Saccharomyces cerevisiae S288C: one gene and its partners. Each later gene encodes a partner of the first gene's protein in a complex. Each region holds a gene or a part of one and is shown in the gene's direction. Other genes may lie near its edges.

The links. Proteins that work in one complex are often made in the same cells at the same time.
Region 2: the proteins of GET3 (region 1) and GET2 are in contact, whole or in part, in a crystal structure (PDB 3ZS9), measured with the Saccharomyces cerevisiae proteins. Residues at the interface, in NP_010183.1 of Saccharomyces cerevisiae: Val5 (codon at 2,962), Ser11 (codon at 2,980), Pro233 (codon at 3,646), Phe246 (codon at 3,685), Leu249 (codon at 3,694), Tyr250 (codon at 3,697), Glu253 (codon at 3,706), Arg254 (codon at 3,709), Ile256 (codon at 3,715), Gln257 (codon at 3,718), Ile260 (codon at 3,727), Asp265 (codon at 3,742), Val266 (codon at 3,745), Asn267 (codon at 3,748), Gln301 (codon at 3,850), Glu304 (codon at 3,859), Leu305 (codon at 3,862), Tyr306 (codon at 3,865), Glu307 (codon at 3,868), Asp308 (codon at 3,871), Phe309 (codon at 3,874), His310 (codon at 3,877); in NP_011006.2 of Saccharomyces cerevisiae: Lys9 (codon at 2,089), Arg10 (codon at 2,092), Leu13 (codon at 2,101), Arg14 (codon at 2,104), Arg16 (codon at 2,110), Arg17 (codon at 2,113), Lys20 (codon at 2,122), Phe21 (codon at 2,125), Ala26 (codon at 2,140), Arg29 (codon at 2,149), Leu30 (codon at 2,152), Lys32 (codon at 2,158), Ile33 (codon at 2,161), Thr34 (codon at 2,164), Gln36 (codon at 2,170), Ala37 (codon at 2,173).
Region 3: the proteins of GET3 (region 1) and GET4 are in contact, whole or in part, in a crystal structure (PDB 5BWK), measured with the Saccharomyces cerevisiae proteins. Residues at the interface, in NP_010183.1 of Saccharomyces cerevisiae: Val5 (codon at 2,962), Phe230 (codon at 3,637), Pro233 (codon at 3,646), Asp234 (codon at 3,649), Glu253 (codon at 3,706), Gln257 (codon at 3,718), Ile260 (codon at 3,727), Ser261 (codon at 3,730), Asp263 (codon at 3,736), Asp265 (codon at 3,742), Val266 (codon at 3,745), Asn267 (codon at 3,748), Glu304 (codon at 3,859), Leu305 (codon at 3,862), Tyr306 (codon at 3,865), Glu307 (codon at 3,868), Asp308 (codon at 3,871), Phe309 (codon at 3,874); in NP_014807.3 of Saccharomyces cerevisiae: Ala11 (codon at 1,732), Lys12 (codon at 1,735), Thr16 (codon at 1,747), Arg19 (codon at 1,756), Lys23 (codon at 1,768), Gln34 (codon at 1,801), Thr35 (codon at 1,804), Ile39 (codon at 1,816), Arg42 (codon at 1,825), Tyr43 (codon at 1,828), Arg45 (codon at 1,834), Ser46 (codon at 1,837), Ser48 (codon at 1,843), His51 (codon at 1,852).

What each region holds. Positions count from the first base shown.
Region 1 is NC_001136.10:281,052-286,125, reverse strand, and holds GET3 (guanine nucleotide exchange factor GET3), read left to right. Parts: upstream 1-2,949; coding exon 2,950-4,014; downstream 4,015-5,074. Other genes in the region: proteasome regulatory particle lid subunit RPN6, read left to right, coding at 1-735; U4/U6-U5 snRNP complex subunit SNU23, read left to right, coding at 961-1,545; BUG1 (Bug1p), read right to left, coding at 1,682-2,707; serine/threonine protein kinase DUN1, read left to right, coding at 4,278-5,074. UniProt on the Saccharomyces cerevisiae protein: ATPase required for the post-translational delivery of tail-anchored (TA) proteins to the endoplasmic reticulum. Recognizes and selectively binds the transmembrane domain of TA proteins in the cytosol.
Region 2 is NC_001137.3:324,777-329,095, reverse strand, and holds GET2 (GET complex subunit GET2), read left to right. Parts: upstream 1-2,064; coding exon 2,065-2,922; downstream 2,923-4,319. Other genes in the region: threonine ammonia-lyase ILV1, read right to left, coding at 1-619; YER085C (uncharacterized protein), read left to right, coding at 956-1,477; YER084W (uncharacterized protein), read right to left, coding at 1,645-2,031; UTP7 (Utp7p), read left to right, coding at 3,160-4,319. UniProt on the Saccharomyces cerevisiae protein: Required for the post-translational delivery of tail-anchored (TA) proteins to the endoplasmic reticulum.
Region 3 is NC_001147.6:641,997-646,033, reverse strand, and holds GET4 (protein GET4), read left to right. Parts: upstream 1-1,701; coding exon 1,702-2,640; downstream 2,641-4,037. Other genes in the region: dynamin-like GTPase SEY1, read right to left, coding at 1-1,468; polyphosphatase DDP1, read right to left, coding at 2,727-3,293. UniProt on the Saccharomyces cerevisiae protein: May play a role in insertion of tail-anchored proteins into the endoplasmic reticulum membrane.

The sequences.
Region 1 (5,074 bases):
CTAGCCAAGTCCAAGGCCTCGTTGACTGCAGCAAGGACGGCCGCTAACTCCATATACTGTCCTACACAAACAGTTGCGGAGCTGGACTTGATGAGTGGTATCCTGCACTGTGAAGATAAAGACTACAAAACTGCATTTTCGTATTTCTTCGAAAGTTTTGAAAGCTACCACAATTTGACTACGCATAATTCCTACGAAAAGGCATGTCAAGTGTTGAAATACATGCTATTGTCTAAGATCATGCTGAACCTTATTGATGACGTAAAAAACATCCTAAACGCAAAATACACAAAGGAAACGTACCAGTCCCGAGGCATTGATGCCATGAAAGCTGTCGCTGAGGCTTATAACAACAGATCGCTTTTAGACTTCAACACGGCGCTAAAGCAATACGAGAAGGAACTAATGGGCGATGAACTAACAAGATCCCATTTCAATGCATTATACGACACGTTATTAGAGTCCAATTTGTGTAAGATTATTGAGCCATTTGAATGTGTGGAAATATCCCACATTTCCAAAATAATCGGTCTGGATACTCAACAAGTTGAAGGAAAGCTCTCCCAAATGATACTAGATAAGATATTCTACGGTGTTCTGGATCAAGGTAATGGTTGGCTTTACGTTTACGAAACTCCGAATCAGGATGCCACGTACGACTCTGCATTGGAATTAGTCGGGCAACTAAATAAAGTCGTCGATCAACTATTTGAAAAGGCAAGTGTCTTGTATTAGGTTTACATGTATATATATGTATGTATACTCACAAGTACCAGAGTAAGAATTCCTAAATAAACTTATAAAATGCAGAAAATACATAAGTATGATTTTTCTTTTTTTTCTCCTAAGAAAGGAAGAAGTTTAATCGAATGCGCCGCTAAATAGAAAACAGTTGATGCGAAAGTTCATCAAAACCAGAAGTTCCTACAAGCCTTAGCTGACAAAAATTCGAGAAAGCTAATGTCGAATTTTGGCAGAAGAACTTGGGATAGAGAGGAGTATGCTGAGCAGGCTAGAAGCGGCTATGACGATCGATCCTTAAAGGCTACGCTAACACCGATTGAATTACAAGCTTTAAAATCCAAATATACAAATTACGATCATTTAATCAAGGGCTCGCTAAAAGACCTAAATAAAAGGAAACTAACAGCAAATACAGAGAGCTTATCGTCTTTCAAGAGGGGAAAGAAGTTCGGATTTTACTGCGATATTTGTAACCTAACCTTCAAAGACACTTTACAATACATTGATCATCTCAACCACAAGGTCCATGCAATAAAATTTGAAAATTTGTTTGATGAACCGTTAATTATAGATATAAGAGATAATGATGACGTACCGCAAGAGGAGTTTGAGTTGTGCTATCATAACTTGATAAAGGATTTTGTAGAGGTGCGTTCTATGGAGACTCAGTCCAAGAGGAAAAGGCTTTTGGACACAGATGTGGAGAAAGCAAAGAAAGTGGCTACTAAGCCTTCTATTGAGAGTGAATCAAAAGTCAGTCAAATGATGGGATTTTCCAATTTTGCCACCTCTAAAAAATGAGAAACCAAGTAAAGATAAATGAGCATAATACAAGCATAGAGCACATATAAAAAGTCGGGACTCAGATCAGATCATTAGATATATCTTTTATGTATATAAACCCTTAATTAAAATATATACGCGAAAATATTCATTCTCAAAATTCCATTATTGGGCCAGAACCAATACTTCTCCAAGTGGTCATGTCTACGTTCCACTGGCGCCATTTGTTCAGCATAACGCGATCCACTTCCATATTATTCCCGTGGGCCACCTGCGTACCAGAATTGGTTACAGATTGTGAGGGAGTTAGATTATTGCTTGAAGTGTTGAAATCCGCAAATTGAATAGGAGTTGCTGTGGTATTTCTTGCTGCCTTAGCTTCTGCTAATTTTAATTTTTCTACTGCGGCAATTAATTCATCCCTTGCGGTTTGCAAATCGTTTTGTAAACCATTAATGATGTCTTCTTTTTCCTGCAATTGATCCTGTAGGTCATCGACAGTAGTTTCATTTTCCATATTCAAAAATTTCAGTTGTTTATTTTCCTGTGTGAGTTTCTCATTTTCCGCCCTTAGTTTGGTCAACTCATCTTCTTCTTTTTGCTTTTTAATCGTGGTGAGAAAGTCAGATTCTTCATTGCCGTCATTGGCAAATAAATCGTCTGCTGCTTCTGATGTATTTGAAGGTTCGTTTCCTTCTTGAGTTTGTACAATTTTCTTTTCCTCTTGTGGTTCTATGGTCTTTCCGGCATCTGCTGTTTGCTCATCGTTGTTATTTTTTATAACTTCTTGAACTTCCTCTTTTTTTGTGTTTTCTGCATCATCCTTTCCCACATTTGATGAAGTACTATTTATTTCCTCAATATCTTTTTCTGTTGTGCCCGAAGGATCTGATTTAACCTGTTCTATTTCTTTTTCTTCACTCTCCTCATCCACGTCATTTTGATCGTTGTTTTCACTTTTGGTGGAATTTGCTTTCACAGTCTCCTCCTGTGTGGACTCTTCGCCTGGTGTGCCCTCTAAATCAGGAGTTTCAGATCCTATAGAGCCTGTGGCACTGCTATTTTTATTCTTCTTACCTTTATTCTTTTTATTTTTCTTTTTCTTCAATTCTTCTACTCTCTTTCTAGCCTCTTCCAATTGTTTCATACGCTTAACTTCATCAGACTCCTGTTCAGACATTGTAACTATATGATAAACTTGCTCAATTCAGGTTGGTTCAATGCAAATTATTACATCCCTTTTTTATCACAAGATCTTCGTAACAATAGTACTAATTAATAGTGCTGGGGATTCTCAACCATTTTTTTTTTTTCAAAAGCGAAAATGGATAAAACGGTGGCAACTTCAAACAAGTTGAGGGAAGCCAACGCAGCGTTTAGGAAAACGTACGACAAGAACAAGAAGATCATCACATTGTAATTATGGATTTAACCGTGGAACCTAATTTGCACTCTTTAATTACCTCTACCACTCATAAGTGGATTTTCGTTGGTGGTAAAGGTGGTGTTGGTAAGACTACTTCATCATGTTCCATTGCTATCCAAATGGCTTTGAGTCAACCAAACAAACAGTTCCTACTGATCTCTACTGATCCTGCCCATAACTTAAGTGATGCATTCGGTGAGAAATTTGGTAAAGACGCCAGAAAGGTGACAGGCATGAATAATCTATCATGTATGGAAATCGATCCATCCGCTGCTTTGAAGGATATGAACGACATGGCAGTTTCACGCGCTAACAATAACGGAAGTGACGGTCAAGGTGACGATCTAGGAAGCTTGCTTCAAGGTGGTGCTCTTGCTGATTTGACCGGTTCCATCCCTGGTATCGACGAAGCTTTATCCTTCATGGAAGTCATGAAGCACATTAAAAGGCAAGAACAGGGCGAAGGTGAAACCTTCGATACTGTTATTTTTGACACTGCTCCAACTGGCCACACATTAAGATTTCTACAACTACCAAATACTTTATCCAAGCTTTTGGAAAAGTTCGGTGAAATTACCAACAAATTGGGCCCAATGCTAAACTCTTTTATGGGCGCAGGTAATGTCGATATCTCTGGAAAATTGAACGAGTTAAAGGCTAATGTCGAGACCATCAGACAACAATTCACGGATCCTGACCTAACGACTTTTGTTTGCGTTTGTATCAGTGAATTCTTATCCTTATATGAAACTGAAAGACTAATTCAGGAATTGATTTCCTACGATATGGACGTTAATTCCATCATTGTCAACCAATTATTATTTGCTGAAAACGATCAAGAGCACAACTGTAAGAGATGTCAGGCAAGATGGAAGATGCAAAAGAAGTACTTGGACCAAATCGACGAATTGTACGAAGATTTCCATGTCGTTAAAATGCCATTATGTGCTGGAGAAATCAGAGGCTTAAATAACTTAACAAAGTTCTCACAGTTCCTAAACAAAGAATATAACCCTATTACTGATGGCAAAGTCATTTATGAGTTAGAAGATAAGGAATAGAAGCCCCTGAATACCATAAATAGATACATACGACATATAACCATAGAAAAAATAGTAATACGATGGTATGTGTGTGAAAAGAAAAAAATTACGTGACGCGACGCGTTTGTTTACTTTTTTCCATTTTATTTCCATGGTATTTTTCAAATGATTTTGGAAAATTATTAGATATTGTTGAAAAAGGAGGAAATGAGAACCCTTTATAGTCGAGAGTAACAAGTAAAGGGGCTTAACATACAGTAAAAAAGGCAATTATAGTGAAGATGAGTTTGTCCACGAAAAGAGAGCACTCTGGTGATGTAACTGACTCTTCATTCAAAAGACAGCAACGAAGTAATAAGCCCAGCTCAGAATACACTTGTCTGGGCCATCTGGTGAACTTAATACCCGGAAAGGAGCAAAAAGTGGAAATAACAAATAGAAACGTTACTACAATCGGTAGAAGTAGGTCGTGCGACGTTATATTGAGTGAGCCTGACATCTCGACTTTCCATGCTGAGTTTCATCTACTGCAAATGGATGTGGATAATTTCCAAAGAAATTTGATTAATGTTATCGATAAGAGCAGAAACGGAACTTTTATTAATGGTAATCGTTTGGTGAAGAAAGACTACATCCTTAAGAATGGTGACAGAATTGTCTTTGGCAAAAGTTGCTCCTTTTTGTTCAAGTACGCATCTTCATCTTCTACTGACATCGAAAATGACGATGAAAAGGTAAGTTCAGAAAGTCGTTCATATAAGAACGACGACGAAGTTTTCAAGAAACCGCAAATAAGTGCTACAAGTAGCCAAAATGCTACAACGAGTGCCGCAATTAGAAAACTGAATAAGACAAGGCCTGTGTCGTTCTTTGATAAATATTTATTAGGTAAAGAATTAGGTGCAGGGCACTACGCCCTGGTGAAAGAAGCCAAAAACAAAAAAACTGGTCAGCAAGTAGCTGTGAAAATATTCCACGCTCAGCAAAATGACGACCAAAAAAAGAATAAACAATTTAGGGAGGAAACTAACATCCTAATGAGAGTGCAACATCCAAACATTGTCAACTTACTAGATAG
Region 2 (4,319 bases), on another chromosome or scaffold:
GATGATCGAAAGGAGGAATGTTCGTCAAGCCACGCTCTTCAGCCAATTTGGCACATTCAGCCTTAGCCTCGTCAAAATCGTTACCATATAGGACGACTTGAGACCCTAATCTCGAGACATTTTGATACTTAATAGATGGTGTACAAACAGGCATAACGATAGTAGCAGGTATTTTCAAGTGTTTAGCAGCAAAGGCCACACCTTGGGCATGATTCCCAGCTGAACAGGCAATAACACCCTGGTTTCTTTGAGAATCGTCCAACTTGGCAATCATGTTATAGGCACCACGAAGCTTGAAAGAGAAAACAGGCAATAGATCTTCTCTTTTCAAGATGACATTCGTGTTTAGACGGGAAGACAAACCTACACCTTGAGAGATTGGAGATTCATTAATAACATCGTATACAGAGGACCTTAAAACTAAACGGACGTAATCAGGGGTGTTATCAGTTTGCAGCTCATCCAATTTCAATTCAGAGTGTAGTTTTATCAAGGAAGGTGACAGGTGTTGTCTGTGCAAATGAGCCTTTAGTCTCAAAAGGTTCAATCCAGACACTTTGGACTGTTTACCTTGCCGAACAACCGTACATAATGGTTGCTTTAGTAGAGTAGCTGACATCACTAACTTTGTGTAATTGACTTAGTTTAAATGTGGCTTGTAGCACTCACACAAGAAAGAACTCAAAGCAGCAACAACAAAAGTTTTCAAAGCTGATAATGAAGTATCTGCAGACATATGTTTGAGATGACTCTTTTTCTTTGATATTTTTTTTTTCTTTTTATGCGATTCCAAATTTGCTACCCGCTGCGCTTTTTCTTTTTGCCCTTCTTATTTTTTCTTTTTCGCGTCAATTAAAATTGAACGTCACAAAATAGCAGAGATAATATGCAATAAAGAGAGAAGAGTTAAAGAGTCTTGGTAGTCAGGAAAAGGTTTTCATATTCATCAGACATAATGAATTTCAAGGAGCCGCTAGTGAATTTTTTAAAATGCGTCTTGAATAACATAAACTCGGCATTTTCGCATAGGATTGATCAATTGCAATTGCAGCTGTTGCGGGAAACAAATATCTTGAGGGTTTTGAACAGGGGAATAGAGAGACTGTTTAGCGAGAATCCAAGGACCCATTCTGTTTCCCGTATCGTGGTGGAAAAAGATGTGGGCTGCAGAATTGGACGATATGTGGAAGGTTCTAAATATGAACTGGTAGAGTCCAGGGCGAAAGAAATACAAATATATTATGAAAGGATGGTTTTTGAAATAACACAAGAATTGAAAGGGGACAAGCGGGTGTTTGCCTTGATTGCAAATCTTTCCCAAAGATATAGCGCAGAGAGGAAAGAAATACGAAATGTAAAGGTGCATGGTGGGCGGCCATGTAATGAGAACGAATTCCAGGTGATTCCGATAAGATTCAAACCTATTAATTTGGAAAGAAGAGCACGACTGATAAGAAAGAAGAAGACTATTAATTAAAAAACTTACATACAAATACATGCCTTACTTTCGATGCCAGCATCTGGAAAGGGAAAGGCAGGGGCAGAGGGACATATTACTTATCTATTTATGCATAATTTGTGTTATATATTGGTATGATAACTTGATGTTAGAGAATGTGCTATTCTGTTTCTTGAAAATCTGAGTTAAGGTTGATACCGCTTTGATACAGCGGGTGTGACAGGTTTATCTGTGACGGTGACAGGGGCAGTAGAACTACTGGAAGCCGCAAAGTCAGAGGATACTGTGAGTGGTGGTGCCCACAACGTGGATGGTCTCAGTTTGACCCTAGGACTTGCAGAAGATCCTGTGGGAAAATCCGGGGAAGGCGGATGGCTACTTGGGTTGAGCATTACTCTCTTTGTGAAAAGGGAGGGAGGGAGAAGTTTGGGGATGAGATGGTTGCTCTTATAACATAAGGTAAATAAAAATTTGGGGTGACCCCGCCGTGCGCGTTTGCTGGGACAAAAGAACAAGAATAGGAACATGAAAAGATTTGAATGATATGGATATGTACAAATGAGCTCTTCCATGTTTGTAGCATCAGCAACGTAGCTCTAGGAAATATGTCTGAATTAACAGAGGCGGAAAAGCGCAGGTTACTAAGGGAAAGGAGACAGAAGAAGTTTAGCAATGGAGGTGCCAGCTCCAGGCTTAATAAAATCACCGGGCAGGCAAGCAGTCATTTGAACGCAGAATCACCTTTAGACGCTCCTAGCGCTGCAAAGACCACACCACCTGCGAGTGTGCATTCGGCTACTCCAGATATCAAAGAAGATAGCAACGTAGCGCCCCAATTGGACCTATTGAAACAGCTCGCTGCCATGCAAGGCCAAGGTACGGGTAAAAGTACCCCTCAGGACTCCTCTACGCCCGATCTACTCTCACTACTAAGTTCTATGAACACTGGCATGCCCAGTGCAGAGGGTACACCATCGTTTGGTCAAGCGGCTCCTGCAGCCCCGATCAATCAAGCTGCTTTGGACTACCATGATTACTTGCTGAACAGACTGAAAGCCTGGACCATTCTTGTGAAGTGGGTCTTTTTCCTACTACCCTATCTATACCTAATCACAAGACCAAATTCCTCTGTGTGGCCGGCCTATGCATTTACTCAATCAGCTTGGTTTGCACCTTTGCGGAACCCATCGAATTTCACTAGAATTTTTGCCACGTTTGAGTTCCTTTCCATATCCATCTACTACCAGCTATTGAAGAATGTGGAACACAAGAGCAAGATTAAAAATTTACAAGATACCAATAAACTTGTCAAGTTAGTTTCACTGGTGCCCGAGGGAGTAATTCCCGTCGCCAACCTGAAGGGGAAGCTAATTACCCTTTTGCAATACTGGGATCTATTGTCCATGCTAATCACTGACATTTCGTTTGTGCTAATTGTCTTAGGCTTATTGACGTACTTATAAATTCTAGATAGTTCAGTAATATAATACATTGTTCTCATAACCCGACATTATTCCCGGCTTTCTTTTCAGGTAATTGAAAAAAAAAGAAAAACGGTAAGAAAATTTTCTAAGCGATGAGTTCGTGAAAAATCGATGTATAGAACTGAATTGGAGTTCAATAGTAAAAAAAAATCCATATATAGCATTAAAAACTCAGTATCCTAGCTTTAAGAAACTGAACCAGATTCCAACGACACAATGGGTCACAAGAAGAACGGTCACAGACGCCAGATAAAAGAAAGAGAAAACCAGAATAAATTTGAACGTTCCACATATACTAATAATGCTAAAAATAATCATACTCAAACAAAGGATAAAAAACTAAGAGCAGGCTTGAAAAAAATAGACGAGCAATATAAAAAGGCGGTATCTTCTGCTGCGGCAACAGATTACCTTTTACCCGAGTCCAATGGTTATTTGGAACCTGAGAATGAGCTAGAAAAGACTTTCAAAGTGCAACAATCGGAAATCAAATCGAGTGTGGATGTCAGTACTGCAAACAAAGCTTTGGATTTATCTTTGAAGGAATTCGGCCCTTATCATATAAAATATGCAAAAAACGGTACGCATCTTTTGATTACTGGCCGCAAAGGTCACGTAGCATCTATGGACTGGAGAAAGGGACAACTTCGTGCTGAGCTGTTTTTGAATGAAACCTGTCACTCAGCGACATATTTGCAAAACGAACAATACTTTGCTGTAGCGCAAAAAAAATATACATTTATTTATGATCACGAAGGTACAGAATTACATCGTTTGAAACAACATATTGAGGCAAGACATTTAGATTTTCTACCATATCATTACCTGCTCGTAACTGCCGGTGAGACAGGTTGGTTGAAGTACCACGATGTTTCCACTGGCCAGTTGGTCTCGGAATTGAGGACCAAAGCTGGGCCAACTATGGCAATGGCACAAAACCCATGGAATGCTGTGATGCATCTAGGTCATTCAAACGGTACAGTATCCCTCTGGTCACCATCCATGCCTGAACCATTAGTAAAATTACTTTCTGCCAGAGGACCAGTGAACAGCATTGCTATCGATAGAAGCGGGTATTACATGGCAACCACAGGGGCTGATAGGTCGATGAAAATTTGGGATATCAGAAACTTCAAGCAACTACATTCTGTGGAAAGCTTACCGACGCCAGGAACAAACGTTTCCATTTCAGATACTGGTCTATTGGCATTATCTAGGGGCCCTCACGTTACGTTGTGGAAGGACGCTTTAAAATTAAGTGGAGACAGTAAACCGTGCTTCGGGTCCATGGGAGGGAACCCACATAGAAACACCCCTTACATGTCACATTTGTTTGCCGGAAACAAAGTAGAAAATTTGGGATTCGTACCATTTGA
Region 3 (4,037 bases), on another chromosome or scaffold:
TTTTGGATGGATGTGATAGTAAATGAATCACATGATCCTTTAATTCGGGAACCAGATTTTTTTTAATACGACCGATTTTTGCTTTCAATTCAGCATCACGTAGTTGCTTGATTCTTTCTTCAATATCGTCGGAAAATTTGCAGGTAATCTCTTCGTTTGATATTAGTAGCCCTAACTTTTTGAAGGTCTCCATTGATTCGTTAAATTCTTTCTCAATCTTACTCTTACCTGCCGCCACACTTTCTACAAAAGAGGTAGTAGCTTTGTCTCTAGAAGACACCTCCAATTTTAAATCGTCCCATAACTTTTCCATTAATGATTCCAAGAACTCATTAATTGTACCTGAAATATGTGAATTCAGCTTTGTATTTAAAGCTTCTCGTTTCTCCATATAAACGTTTCTTGCATAGCGCGATGCTTGTTCATCATATTTTGTCAGACATTCTTCTTTTAGCTTCACTAGCTGAGATGTTAAAGATCCCAAGTTACCCTTTAAAGGAGCAATCGATTCATCATATTTTGAAATGAACTCTTCTAGAGCTTCATTAGATATTTCTTCAGTTTTAAATCTAGCAACCAGAATTTGCTGAGTTGGAAGATCTAAATCCTTGTTACGTTCAATTTGATCCCAACAATTTTCTGCGTACATAGTCCAACCATCTAATGGCAACCTATGGTGATATTGAGGTTTGAAATAATAGTTTTCCGTACCTTTCATCACAAACGAATCACCTAATTTCTTGACATCCTGGGTAAATTTGTCTTCTTGCAACAACTTATGAGCTAGCCCGACAAACTTTAAATCGAAATAATCATACAGGCTAGAACCCTCACAACCAGCAGGTTTACTTAACTCTGTCCATATTTTTTCCAATTCTCTCGTAACGGAATCACTCAAACTCGAGAGTGGAGTCACACCTACATGATCTCTAATTACAAAAAGTAACAGCACCTTGTGGTCATTATCATTCTTGCCAAATAGGGAAAGGTTGACCTCAAAAACTGTTTTTAATAAAGCCATATTATTACCTTGATATAGCCCAATTTGCTGCTCCCACATATTAACTATAAGAACTTCAGATACTGCAATGGCAAATAAAGCGGCTTTTCTCTCAAAATCTTGGTCTTCACCTCTTTCTGAACCATCGGAGCCCTCAACATCTAGCACAAAAATATCTGGACGATCATTATCGATTTCAATAGTTGTATTAACCTGTTTAGTGTGAGCCAACCAAATGCCTTTAGTAGTCTGCTGCCTTTTCACCTGAGCATCCATGGTATCAAAGTTGGTGTTAAACAAGACGTTAAGTAAAGTCGATTTACCACTCGATTGAGAACCGAAAACTGAGATGACATGGTAATCTAGACCAACATCACGATTTCCAATACATTGTTGAAAATATTGTAATGCACTTTGATGAAATTCCTTCTCTTCATCTATCAACTGAATAGCAGGTCTATCAGCCATGACTAAAGTATGTCAACCGTCGAGTGAGTTAGTAGCCCGTTTGTTGAAATAAGTCAATAATTATTTACCATCAAAATACACCTTTCAGTATTTTGTTCGTTTTGTCGCTCTTCGTTAAGGTAACAAACAATGGGAAAAAAAGTGAAAGGAAAGTCAAAAAAATGAAATAATAACATGTGCGGTAAAACAACCAAGTAAACATCATAAAGGGACATAAATAATAATAACAAGCTATGGTTCCTGCTGAATCTAATGCTGTACAAGCGAAACTCGCTAAAACCTTACAAAGATTCGAAAATAAGATCAAAGCTGGAGATTATTACGAAGCGCATCAAACGTTGAGAACTATTGCTAATAGATATGTTAGAAGTAAATCATACGAGCATGCCATAGAACTAATTAGTCAAGGGGCCCTTTCATTTTTAAAGGCGAAGCAGGGCGGTTCAGGCACGGATTTGATCTTCTATCTTTTAGAAGTTTATGATTTAGCGGAAGTTAAAGTTGATGACATCTCAGTTGCTAGATTGGTTAGATTAATAGCCGAATTGGATCCTAGCGAGCCCAATTTAAAGGACGTTATTACTGGTATGAACAATTGGTCTATCAAATTTAGTGAATACAAATTTGGAGATCCTTACTTGCACAACACCATTGGTAGCAAACTATTAGAGGGAGATTTCGTTTATGAAGCTGAGAGATATTTTATGTTAGGTACACATGATTCAATGATCAAATATGTCGATTTACTATGGGACTGGTTATGCCAAGTTGATGATATCGAAGATAGCACGGTGGCTGAGTTCTTCAGCAGATTGGTTTTCAACTATTTATTCATCTCTAACATATCATTTGCACATGAATCAAAAGACATTTTTTTGGAAAGATTTATTGAGAAATTTCACCCCAAGTACGAGAAAATTGATAAAAATGGTTATGAAATAGTTTTTTTTGAAGATTATTCCGACCTAAATTTTTTGCAATTGTTGCTAATTACCTGTCAGACTAAGGATAAGAGCTATTTCTTGAATTTAAAGAACCATTATTTAGATTTTTCTCAAGCTTACAAAAGTGAGTTAGAATTTTTGGGCCAGGAATATTTCAATATTGTTGCTCCTAAACAAACGAATTTCCTACAAGACATGATGTCGGGATTCCTGGGCGGATCGAAGTGAAAAGAGCATATTTGCGAAGGAATAGATAAATATGTTTGCGGTGGCTTGACGACCATGACGTATATACATATATATGTATGTGCTAGCTATTTGTCGTCTTTAATGATAGCAGACCTATTAAGGGCCTCCAACAATTCAGGCCTCTTGGCGTCTATCAAGTTTTGTTTAGCTTCTGTATAAGAGTATAGCTTTCTATGTCTTTTGTGACATTCCGGAAATTTATCAAGGAGATTTTCAATCTCTAATTCATAAAAATGAAATTCGGTTCTTGGCGGGTGCTTTGCTACTTCTGAATCTTTTCGAGAGTTCTCGAATTGCTTAATGTCTTTGTTCCAGTCCTTAGGGGGTCTCATGTCTTCAACTGTACCCAAATTGGCGACAATTTTACCTATGCAACCAGCTTCCTCCCAAGTTTCTCGTTGGGCAGTCGTCTCGTAATTAGGCTCGTCTTTCTCAACGCCACCTTTGGGGACAATCCATCTTTTCTTGTGTGCAGAAGAAGTAATCATGAGAACTTGCTTCTTGTCGGGTGTTAAACATATGCAGCCAGCAACTAATCTTGCACCTGTAACGGGTGAGTAAACCTGGTTTTCTCTTCCTTCACGTGCTGTCTCAGAACGTACTGGACCATGATTATCCGCGGTTTTGCCCATTTTGTGTTTCCCCACGCTCTTATACTCCTACGTACTCACTGTTCCTGACCTTTCAGGCGTTATTTCAGTGTGATTTCATGTCTTAAAGTTGAGGCTTCCCTTTACACTATTTACCTCCGCGAGACGTTTGAGAATTAAGCCGCACGTGCTCGCCGCAGATGTTCTTTCAACGACAAGAGAACACCATGCTCCTACTATTTACGCATTATTTACACAGTATACCTTTCTGATGATGAAGTTTGAAGGTTTAAATTCTGGGCAGTAGCTGTTTTTACGGTTGTCTCAATATTTCTCATTCTGCTTTATAATCACGGGAGTATGACAGCATTACCAATCTCTATCAAGATGAAGAAAGATGAGCATGATCGTTTTAAGCTCACATGGAAGCTGTAGTTATTACCAGTATATCCTCTTTATATATAGCGAATGTAGATTTCTGCCAGTATCATACTGGCAGAAATCATAGTGAACGGAGTTAAATCCGCGGAAATTAGAAAAACGTTAAAAGGTTCCATGCCATATTACTAATGGGGTAGAGGCTGATATACGGGGAAAAGGATAACAATACCAAGACATTTATAGTATTCCACATCACTAGACGTATGTAATAGACAACTTCCCCTTGGAATTACCAAAACGCCAAAAATTCGGAATTACAAGAGAAAAGTTAGATCAAAGGAACAACAAGATCAACGAGAAAGTGGGAAAGTTTATTGCCCTCAGCCGTGCCAATAAGAATAGCGT